Linked DNA regions of Xenopus tropicalis. The protein of the gene in region 1 purifies or fractionates together with the protein of each later gene. This does not show direct contact. Links are inferred from orthologs where the notes say so. Each region holds a gene or a part of one and is shown on either strand. Other genes may lie near its edges.

What was found. The genes of interacting proteins can lie anywhere in the genome.
Region 2: the proteins of ep300 (region 1) and rbbp4 purify together in Homo sapiens (affinity purification with mass spectrometry; 4 studies listed by BioGRID, with this or other methods). This does not show direct contact. The link is inferred for Xenopus tropicalis from reciprocal best matches to the Homo sapiens genes EP300 and RBBP4.
Region 3: the proteins of ep300 (region 1) and fus purify together in Homo sapiens (affinity purification with mass spectrometry; 4 studies listed by BioGRID and IntAct, with this or other methods). This does not show direct contact. The link is inferred for Xenopus tropicalis from reciprocal best matches to the Homo sapiens genes EP300 and FUS.

Annotation. Positions count from the first base shown.
Region 1 is NC_030680.2:115,931,444-115,935,207, forward strand, and holds part of ep300 (histone acetyltransferase p300), read right to left. Parts: coding exon 3,153-3,764; intron 1-3,152. UniProt on the Homo sapiens protein: Functions as a histone acetyltransferase and regulates transcription via chromatin remodeling. Acetylates all four core histones in nucleosomes. Histone acetylation gives an epigenetic tag for transcriptional activation.
Region 2 is NC_030678.2:90,312,103-90,316,316, forward strand, and holds the start of rbbp4 (histone-binding protein RBBP4), read right to left. Parts: upstream 2,801-4,214; 5' UTR 2,633-2,800; coding exon 2,617-2,632; intron 2,441-2,616; coding exon 2,293-2,440; intron 1,669-2,292; coding exon 1,523-1,668; intron 1-1,522. Other genes in the region: zbtb8os (protein archease), read left to right, coding at 2,877-2,973. UniProt on the Homo sapiens protein: Core histone-binding subunit that may target chromatin assembly factors, chromatin remodeling factors and histone deacetylases to their histone substrates in a manner that is regulated by nucleosomal DNA.
Region 3 is NC_030685.2:6,034,297-6,038,376, forward strand, and holds the start of fus (RNA-binding protein FUS), read right to left. Parts: upstream 2,801-4,080; 5' UTR 2,758-2,800; coding exon 2,745-2,757; intron 1-2,744. UniProt on the Homo sapiens protein: DNA/RNA-binding protein that plays a role in various cellular processes such as transcription regulation, RNA splicing, RNA transport, DNA repair and damage response. Binds to ssRNA containing the consensus sequence 5'-AGGUAA-3'.

The DNA.
Region 1 (3,764 bases):
CTGCCTCAAAATATGAATTCATATGAATACAGAACACAAATCAAAACACTTCTTTGCATTACCTATCAAGAAGCCTGCACAACATATGTGGAAAAACATCAGAAAAGATTGTATGGCTGCAATAAGGCAGCCAAGCAAATTCAAATGCTGCAGAAGTACTAGGACTTTGCTGGATCCCTAAACAGACATCTAAATTGTTAATATACAGACACCTGTAAGATATTGCTAGCATCCTGCCTTTTTGTGGGGTTTTTTAATTGCACAAATTGTTCTGGGTTTAAAATTACTCTATTTTATTGCCCATATTTTGTTATATTTAAATGTAGTGCTTTCTGTATGTAGTTTTTACCGGAAAAAAACTATGGTGCATGGATGCATTTAATATACACATCTTAAGGAAGAAGGCCACAGCCTATTAAGAAATCAGGACCCAAGTAAAGAGAGCAGATGGCAAAGCACCAGTCCAGAAAAGGGAACAAAAGGTAACATGGCTCCCTCCCCCATGTAAGTGCAAGTCTTACCCACCCCCAACTCTTAAAATTCAGCCTGCCCCTCCCCGGCACACTCCAAGCAGCATTGCCTTGCATATGACAGGTTTAGGACACAATGAAGCTTTCACACAACAGTAAAAACTGCTCCACTGTACCTATTTATCTCTAGCAAGTTAGGACATTAAAATGGGAAAGTCTTCCCAAATAAATGGAGAAACATCCCATCAACTCAGTAGGAACAACATCCCATTACCCTAGAATAATCCTCTCACTACAGTCAGAACAGCTCTGACCTGAAACATGGCTACATACTGCCTAGGTTTATAGAAACCATAGTAATTACATAGATGTCCCTCTCAGACTTCTGGTCAAATAGTATCTTAGTTCACAAAGAAAAGTCTCTGTAGTCACAGTGGAATCCTGCATGATACAAATATGTTGCAGCCAGAAGGGCAAGCGTCAAGTCAGTTGCCAAAGTAGTGTTTTTGGAGCTGCCTGGTGTAGTGTATAGGATACCGTGTCCCCATGCTACCATACACGTGGCATGTAGGCTACACTACTAAGCCTCATAGTCCAGTCAAAAACATTGTAGTTAAGCTGCTACAGCCAGATGCCACCAGCACCTAAATCACACACCATTGTACACTTATTTGTTATTGTGCACAAGTGCATATTGTAATGCAAAATTTAAATCAAGCCATTAATACTAATAGATTACTATTAGTATTAGTGGATACTACTACTAATACTTAAAGATTCCAAAATGGTGTGGCACTCATCAAGACTAACAGTCTTACCAAAAGCTCTGCTCATCGACAATAGGCCAAACGAGCAATCAGACTGTTGGCCTAGGGCCAACAACACATCCCTTGTGCAGGCACCACTAGAGAGAGGCCCACATAATTTAGGCCTTCTACAACAGATCTTCCACACTTGTCCAACCTGGTGATCCCTGGCATGATATGAGCTAATAAGCTGTGGGCACTTTCAGATTAACTCAATTGGGAGGCCAAATGAGCTGATCTCAGGCAACCCAGAAAATGGATCAATCTGATCATTTGCCAGTGGACCAACCATTGAGATGTAGTGGGCCTATGAAGACCTATCAGACAAAGACCGCACCAACAAATCAGCATTAACATGCCCAATAACTATCTTGACAATGCTATGTCAATATCAATCAGAAAGGACTCCTAAGGGCCACATACAAAAGCCATTGAGATGCCAACTTGGTTTGGAAGAGCAAGTTTTGGAAAAATTCCACATTTTTATTGGCCTGTGTGTGGCCACCATGAGCATGGAATGCTTAGCCAAACTCATGTACTATTCCCTAAACTACTATCTGGCACTTTCTTAGCCAGATTTCTACCATATTCCTCCACCTACTGCAAACAACTCAGTCACACAGTTTTTCAATGGTGCACTGCAAACTGCAGGCTCATGCTAAAATCATGCTAAAATGTGTCAGCAATTCATAGCATGGAGTGTGTATTTACAAAAACTACATTTCTCTAATTGATGCAAGTTGTTTGTACTAACAAATCAAATCAGTAATATCACTTATCTGATGTTACCCTTAGGGAAGAATACAAATTATGCCCCAATATAAGCAAGTCTGTTTATAGCTCTGTATCACCGTAAGAAACCACAACATTTGAACTTATGGAAGAAAGTGATCAAGAATCTCTACAAGTATATAACACAAGATATTAATAATATATAAATAATAATATATAAATAACATCTCAAGCTGTTCAAACAAAAAGAGGTAAGAATGATTTACGCAGCACTAAGAAATGGCAAAACTGTATTATCTTTAAATGGATATTTGTATTCAGCTGGGTGGTATCATTTTTTCTGTATATGTATGATGAATAATTTGCCTGAACCAAAATGTAAAAACTTTGAAACACTGAGAGGTAGAATATGTGGATGTAACAAACTTAAACACTATATAACACTATTTTTAACAATGTTTTACATTTGCTAATCTTTTTATCTTTTCACTGAACTATAAAGCACTCTCCCAAACCCTGATGGAAATGTATCAAACTACTACTGCCAAAATTGCTGTCTTTCAAGTTTCACTTTAAAAAGTCGACCAACACATTCATAAAATAAGGCCAGTGTTTTATAAACTGCTACAGATCTTACTATCCACATTATCAGTGACCAAGAACTTAAAGCACATTTAAAAGGTATAATGAACAGTAACTGAAAAGTCAGTTATAACAGGTGCATATATAAACGTCATCCCTTTTAAAATTTTCTTGCATAATGAATATGAAATTATAAACAACTTTTAGATATACATTTAAACACAATTAAAAGGTTTTAAATGTATTTGTGACCGTATTTGCAAATAGCCATGCTTACAGCAAAAATTGTTTTTTATTTATTTATTTTTTTTTTTTTGCACAATGAAAAAAATTCAAATAAAAAAAAAAACACTTATGTCTCCTACAAAGAATGACAAATTTTTGACAGGGCACATACACCCTGGCAACAAAAGCAATTTTAAATACAGCAGATAAGTTAGTTTTGTGGAGTTCTCTTACTTTTGTCATTACCTGTCCTACATGTTAATAAATATAGGAAATACCCATTTTCTTATATATTCATTAAGATGAAAAGAAAATATCCCCAAAAAAGGTCTCTCACCTTGTTCATGGCTGTTGGCTGTGGACCTCTCATACCAGGCTGTCCTCCAATTTGAGGTCCACCTTGAAGTGTTTCGGCAAGAATGTTGCCTGTATTGCCCATGTTAGGGTTGGGGTACTGCATGTTAGGACGACCTCTACCAGATCCAACAGACCCATTCATCATTTGACCCTGAATCATACTTTGTCCATTTCCAGCTGTCATCATTCCTGCGTTGATGCCCATGCCATGCTGGTTTACAGGGCTATTCACACCAGGTATCATTCCTGCTGCTGACGTGGGATTTATCTGCTGAGCTGTTGGTCCAGTGTTTCCACTGCCTCCCATACCCATGTTTGGCGATGTAAGTCCTCCTTGGTTCATGGGACTTTTGACCATGCTGTTCAGTAGGTTTATTCCTGGGCTGTTTTGTGATGTTTGTTGCCCAAGGCCCATGCTCATGTTTGAGGTGGTTCCACCACGCAAGAGCTCAGAAAGCTGCTTATGCTTGGCAGCTGCATCAGGCACCATATTCATGCTGTTGTGTAGCTGACTGAGATCTCCACCATTAGTCAGACCAAACTCACTTGAGTTAATCAACTCATCCGGTAAATCCTGTTCCAAGTCGAACAG
Region 2 (4,214 bases), on another chromosome or scaffold:
CAAACCAATTTGTCAGTAAAACACAGACTAAACACAGACATATACAGATGTGGGGAACTGGTAGGATGATGTAGCTGTGAGTAAAACCTGTCAAAAAGGCTGTGTTTCTGCAGAAACCTAAGGAAATAAAAGTCCCAATGAATTCAATAGGCTTTAAATCCACAGTGGCAAATGTCTACATTATTTCAGTGTATGCACTTATAGATTTACACAATGAATTTGTGTTATTACTTGTATCAAGACCTTCATACAATGAATACAATGTTGAAATAGCAAAGTGGACCAGCTTAACTTGAATGGGAAAGGGAAGTTAGAAATGACATCTTCGTTGTTATTTGATTATTTGACCTGGGGCCAAATGATCAAATTAGCATGACATCGCCCACCTTAGGTGCGCATATCAGGAAATGATCCACTTATTTGCCAATCAAGCAAACCTTATGTATCGAATCTTATGTATGTCCATCTTTATAGTTAGTTAAACCACTAACAGTTTCTTTAAAACAAAGATTGTTTGATACGATAAATTGCTTTCTATTTTATTTTATTTGCTTTAGGGTGAACACACAAGGAGCTACTTTTTCATGGCTAGTAAACTCCAGAAAATACTCTGCCATAGACAATACTGGGAACTGCCTCTGCTAAAACAAGGAGAGACAATTATCAGTAAACAATCAGCATGATCTACTTTAGTAGCCAGACAAGTAGCTGCTACTAGTAGCTCTGTGTCTCTTCACCCTTAAGAGCTGTGGCACACGGGGAGATCAGTCACCCGCAACAAATCTCCTGTGTCGTGGGCGACTAATTGCCTTGAGAGGAAACTTTCGTGATTTTGGGGAATTCGCGGCACCGCGCATGCCATCCCAACAAGATGAGATTTACATTCTTGCCGGTGGGATAGCATTTTAGGGAAAGTTGTTGCGGGCGACTAATCTCCCTGTGTGCCACAGCCCTAAGGATACACTCCCCTTATTTCTCTCTCTGTTTGCCTGTACCAGCTCAGTAAACCAGGTTGTAAAAGCTCTGTAAACTGCTACAACTTGCTACAATAGTTGTAGAATGGGAATATACCAGCCAATGAAACAGCTAAAGTTAAAAACAGATACACGAGACATGGTGATACATGAGAGAGAGAGAGTTTAAAAGGCTGGCAACAAGTTACTCTTGAGCAACATGTGAGGATAGAAAATTAAACTTTAAAATGGCCCTTGACTCAAAAACTGTTTTTGTATAATGAAAGAAAGTATAATTGGCTTTGACAGAAATATACGTAAAAAACGTTACACTATTTGTAAATGTAACTGCTATTAAAAACATTATAATAGTTTACATTCTCTGTACTACTGGCTCAGACTGCTAAAAGAATGTAGTAGAAGCAGCTGATGAGAACTGGATCCTGCTACACTGTTTAAGAACTGGAGGAGACAAATACTGCTTTTAATTACAATAATATTGACACCATTTTACCTTTAGAACAAAGGCGAATTTGAGCACTGTCACACTAACCACCCCCCCATCTTACCTCCTTTTTCACTGTCATAGTGTGATGCATCAAATTGAGCGTCATCATTAGGAAGCTGCACACTAGCAATCACCAGATGATTCTGTTCATCAGAAGTGTGTGTCCCAAGGACGAGTCTGTGGATACTGAAATCTTTTCCATCGGGTCTGTCAAGTCAAAAATAGATGCAACAAGAAAGCTAAGATTATCTTTGAATGGCATTACAATTCTCTTATAATACATGAGAACAGAAGTTCTCATTTTCCTTCCAGAATTTGGTTAAGCACCCATAACTTGTATGAAGGCTACAGCGAAAAAGCCTGTGCCGCCAGTTTTCATTTTTAGGTTATACCACCATTGATAAACCTTCCATATACAGAAATGTCTACAATTCAGTCCCTCAGCTGTTTTGTTATCCTGGCAATATATTCTAGTACCAGTTTGAAAATAGCTGATTTCTCCATTTTTCTTTTAATTAATTGAAACATACAGACTTTGAAATGAACTCTAAAAGCTGTGAAGCAGAAGTTGGACTAAACTATTCAGCATCTACTGCTGGGGCTGAAATTCCAAACACTGGCACTGGTTATTATCAGTTATCTACACAGAGACAACTTTTTTTTACAATTGAAAATAAATGCAAGATCCACACTAATGTTCCACAGCACTAAGAAACCCGAAATGAGTACAGCTTTCCAGTCCCCATAACTGCAGATAGTTAAAGCTATATTTTCCATACAGTATAAGATTTAGTAATAAGTTAAAAAAAGAAGTGTTACTATGGGAATCACCTTGTGACATCTGGGAGCCACTGGGCAGTCAGGCTAGGCCATTCCAAGGCATGGGTCATCACCAGATCATACAGGAAAGGGGTGTTCTTTTTCCATATCTTATACTCTTCGTTTATAACTCGTTCCTCCACCGCATCATCAAACGCAGCTGCGCACATAAAAACACTCGAGTCAGAATGCACTTTAAGAAAGGTGGCATTTGCCTCTCACAAGTATACCGGGTAGACGCGAAGTAAAGGACCCACATCTCAATGCCCTCAAGATTCCCGCGTACCTCAATCACTAGTACCAAAAGGATGTCCCTTACTCTCGGCTCATACTTACCCTCTTTATCAGCCATAGTAAATCCAGGAGCAGAGACTTTACCGCTTGCGAGACTCAACTTGCTCTTAGAGTCCTCAACTTAGCTCACGTTTCCCCGGTTTTTCCCCTGACTCCTCCCCTCAGTGCCCGGGCCTGTTCCTCCCGCTATTGTTTCCCGCCTCCCCCGTGTCTCGGAGCCGCACACCTTCGCGCCAACAAGACCCAATAGGAACCGTAGCAGAAACGGCATAGATCACCAATCAAGACACTTTACGTCATCAATGGGTGTCTACCAAGTGCGCGCCAGTCAAGAGTGCATGGGACGTCACGTGGTGCCAGTCGGTAGGGACCGTATTCACGGAAGTGAAGTAACAGCCGGTAAGGCAGTGATGCTGTAGGCGTCATGTGATCAAGGAAGGTTTCCTTGTGTTGGTATTAACGAGCACATACTGTCCCAACGATTTAATGTTATGATTTCTGCCATAAGCTACCGAAAGAAAAAGGAGTGTCCAACTTGCCCTGATAGCACCTTCACACGGGCACCACACTGCCATCTCTAGTTACGGAAGTGAAACAAAATGGACCCTTCTACAATTGCTTCAGCCGGGAACACGTGACAGGCTGGTGGAACCCAGTCTCCCGGAAGACGCTTAGGCTAATAGGCTTGAGGCTGCGCACCTGAGAAGATGGACGAACGCTATTATACAATAAGTGAAGAGCAGGTTGCTGTCAAGGCAAAGTACCCACCCGTAAACAAGAACTACGAATGTAAGAGTTATATTACAGTGCTAATGCAACTGCTAGTGGAGTTTGAATGAGCCGTTTGTAGTCGTGTATCTCGCCACTGAAGTTTCCTAACTTTAAGTTCAGGAGCGCTTGACTGATATTTGTCGGAACATTAAGTGAACATGGATATTGGGATAACTTTACTTTTATTACCAGTTTCTATCTGTCGTACACCGTTGTCATGTTACCACATATTGGTGGCTTAAATGGGCAACACATGTAGGTTTGCCACCCTAGGTGGGGGTTAAGCCCGAACAAAGGAGATTGGGCAGCTGGCATTGGGGGTCGGCACAATTACATCAGAGGTGGGCACAATGATGTCTGTGGGGTTTTGAGCCTGGGGCAGGGTTATTGTATAACTTATGCAATTGGCTGGAATTCTGTCCGGTTCAAAGTCACACAGGTGGCAACCCTATCTCTATCTATATTCTGCCTGATGAGTAAAGCTTTGGCAGCTTATCAACCCATGCATGGGCACTAACAACGACTGCGCCTATACCCATAGCTCTAATTTGATCGCTTGGCCCCTGGGCCAAACGATCAAATTAGCCCGATATCGCCCACTCGTAATTAGATATGGAATCTGCTATACAGAAATTAGTTATCCAGAAGGCTCTTTAATACAAGAATGCAAATTTTTAAAAAATACTGATTGAGTGGTTTGCTTTTTTTTGTTTCTGTAATAATAAAAAAATAGCTGCACTTGTTAATATCTAAGCCATGTTGAGGTAAGTATCTTAAAGGACATGTCAACCCCAAAAATAATGTTTTGCCTTATAAAAGAAAACATAATTCTAAGTAACTTTCCAATATCTATTTATTAAAAATGATTA
Region 3 (4,080 bases), on another chromosome or scaffold:
GCAGATTGAAATTATAGGATAAAATCCTAAAAATATATCAGAGGGCGTTCTGGGCATGAAATAGTTGGCAGACACCAACCGTATGAAAGTGACTCCCATTGTAGGCCCCCCAAGGATATCGGCACATACACAATACATGCACAGATTTTATCCTTATCCAACCAAAATGTTTTATCCTGTCCGATCGACTAAACAACCGAACACCATGGTACAAAAATGATTGTGGTGATAATGTAGAGCCCACACAGCCTGAAAATCGTACAAAACTTACCACACACAGGCCAAATATCATACAAAACTACATTGTGATATTCTGGCCCTTATTTGGATAATTAAGGCCAGACAGGGGCACATCAATGCCATCGGTCGCACCAAAGATCGTCCACAGACGTTCAGGGCTGAATTGTCCGATATGGAGGTAGAAACAATAGAAATTCTACCCCCTTCTGCCCTGAACTTAGATTTTGCTTGGGTACCGTTGAAGGTACAAAAGCAAAATCAGTTCAGGGCAGAAGGGGGTAGAATTTCTATTGTTTCTACCTCCATATCGGACAAATCTTTTAACCTGGCCGATCAACAAGTCGACAGATATCCGCAGCCTTTTGCAATATCGGGTGCCTCGTCGAGCCGCCATACACACAAACCGAATATTGTACGAAACGAGGTTTTGTACGATATTGTTGGTGCATATATGGCCAGCTTAAGTCTACCCATGTATGGCCAGTTTATAGTCTTATCAGGCCATAGTCCAAAAAAATAGTGAATCCCTGTGAGGAAAACTTTCCTTCCACACCCAACACTAAATTAAAACAGGATCTTTTCTTAAATCAAGACCAGTGCATGGAATTACAGGGCACAAGTCTCTATTGTCCCTTTAATGGCCTTGGAACTACAACAAGGTCACTGAGGTCCATAGTTTCCTATACAAGAAGCCTGGGTGGGGGGGCGGGGTAAAATATATATTATATACACACTGGAACAAGGGCAGCACTCTTAGGATTTAAAGAATTGTGAGCAAAATTTAGATATAGAAAGGTTTATCACTCAACGTTTCGGCCTCACACAAACCTTCATCTGGAGTGAAGGTTGAAGCTTTCTCCAGATGAAGATGAAGGTTTGTGTGAGACCGAAACGTTGAGTAATAACCTTTCAATATTTACACTGCTCACAATTCTTTAAATATTAGGAGTGCCGGCCTTGTTCCAGTGCATTTTTTTGGTACTAGCACCCAGGTTTCGTTGGATTTCTTTTCTTAAATAAATTTATTATTTTTTCAGCAAAGTCCCTGTGTGTGCGGCCCACTGTTATATATATATATACTTTGAGAAAGGCTGAGGATCCGGCCGAAACGTTAGATTGACGTGGTTTCACAATAAAGGTATCTTATTTTTTCACCAAGTCCTGCGAGTGCGGTATATATATATATATATATATATTATATATATATATATATATATATATATATATGTGTATATATAGGTGGTTTGTCCCTGAGGAAGAGCACAGTAGGTGCTCGAAACGTTGGACTTTTTTTGTTCTAATAAATTTGTGATTTTTTGTAAAGTCCCTGTGTGTGCAGGCACCAGCACCTTGGGCATTTGAATTCTTTAAGGGTGTGCTTTATTTTGTTCTATATATCTATCTATATACACACACACACACACATATATATTATATATATATATATATATATATAATATATAAGGGATATAATATATAAGGGACTTGATACAAAAGAAAAAGTGGTTTTATTGAAAAAATTACAACGTTTCGAGCACAATCTGTGCTCTTCCTCAGGGACAAACCAACTGAGGAAGAGCACAGATTGTGCTCGAAAAGTTGGCATTTTTTCAATAAAACCACTTTTTCTTTTGTATCAAGTCCCTATGTGTGCGGCACTCTTTCTATTATATTTTTGTTTTTTGACCTGCACCAAGGGCATTTGGACTTGTATAGGGTGTGCTCCTCCCTGTATACTATATATATATATATATGTAGACACATACACACACACACACACACATATATATATATATATGTAGACACATACACACACACATATATATATCTACCCGCTTCTTACCCTATGTCTCAGCCAAGAATTTACTTTACTAGTTAAATCTGCTTAAAGATCCCCCAGGCAGCAGTGTTGCAGCCATTTACCAGCCCTACAGAGACTTATTCATGTTCTGCCCTGTGGGCAATTGACCAATATACTGATTCCCTCCCCCTAAACCACGGATAATGGTTTCCAGAGGCAAGATTTTTTTCTTATAACGTTACTACACAAAACACTCGTTTTCTGGGAAGGTTTATCCGGACAGAATGCCACGCATTAGTGCCCCACACGCCCAGCCCGCCCGGATACAAAATGGCGAAAGCAGCGCAGTGCGGCTACAAAATGGCTGCCAGCTGCGCATTCAGCACAATGGTGGGAGGAGCCAAGAAGCGGCGGGACCGATACAACGGGGAAAGCCTACAAGATGCACGCATAGTAACATATCCGCGATACCGGATACATAGAAACAACGAAAAATACACATAAGGCAAAATGGCGCCAAAGAACGAGCAGATCTCGTATCTTAATCCTGAGTACTACTTTGCTTCGCACCCTAAGACATATAACAAATATTAAAGCCTATACACTATGCCCGACTATACATACACAGCCCCCAACTAGCGCGAAACAAAAATATCAAAACTAGCAGCCGAGTACAAAGGGCGAACGTCAAGTAATTCCTTACCGTTGGTGGCCATGTTGCGGTATCACTGATGTTCTCCAAGTACCGCCTAGTAACCACGATATATCACCTCCGCTGCGCACTGTGCTAAGGCGGGGAACTTGCAGCCCTTTATATGCACTCGGGACAAACCATTACGCACACCAGAGGGGGAGTGGTTAGGAGGAAAGGTAGCGACGGCTAAAATACCGGATAAACGAGTTTAAAACAGAACTCTGTTATGTTTTTGTGAAGTCAATAAAGTTTTACCCGAAGCACTATAAAGCAGAGGCAACATATATAGTTGCTTCTTGCTGTGCTGGGTATGTTATGTGAATGGTATGGCGGAGGGGCCATTCTATGAAGTGATGTGTGAAGGGAGAGATGCATCTTAGTTGATGGGGCAGATGAAAATGTCATGTTGGGGCCCTTTTTATTCCTTTCAAAGACCGCAATATCAGTATATTTATCCCATACATTGTCCTCATCATGCTGCAATAAGAAGGCTTGCCCAGATTTAGTTGGGCAGGTTTGAAAATGACAATTTCCCTGCATACAATTGGACAATGGACAAATTTTATTGCTTTCAAACCTGCCCAATGGATTTTCTGACCAATGTTGGATGAAAAATCGCTAAATGTGAAATTGGTCGTTAGGGAGGGAAAAATCTTAGCATGTATGGCCACCTTTGCTATTAGCTGAGGCTTCCTACCCCCCCCCAAGCTTCATGGCTGAATAGTGCAGAAGTACCTTTGTCCCTTGTATGTATGTATATCTTTATAAAGCGCTACTTATGTACCCAGCGCTGTACAGTAGAATACATTAATACAAACAGGGGGTTATTAAGATAATAAGAGATAAATACAAAGTATAACAATAAATAAAAGATACAGTTGCAATAAGTTAAGAGTCAAAGGTCCCTGCCCCGTAGAGCTTACAATCTAGATAATCTAGACAATCTTGGCTCTTCTCGAGACGTGGGCCCTGGGCAGCTGCCCGATATGCCTGCATTATCTGATATTATCTGTCATTTATTGCAGGTCCAGAGATAGGGGTAGGCAGCAGAGGCACGTGCCTTGGGTGCAATTGGGGTGGTGGGGCACAATCAGAGGTGGATTGATTGGTAGGAATGAGCAGCAAGAGCTTGAGTGGACTGAGAGATGGGGGGGGGGGGGGAGCGGTTTGTGATGTGTGAACTGAGCATGGGGGTTTCAGGCAAGCAATGCCCCCTGTTCCATATGTCTGTCTATTTTCATCTGTTTCTCATTTTTCCTTAAGTCTTGATAGCTTGCTACTATCTATCTATCATCTATCTATCATCTATCTATTATCTATCTATCTATCTATCTATCATCTATCT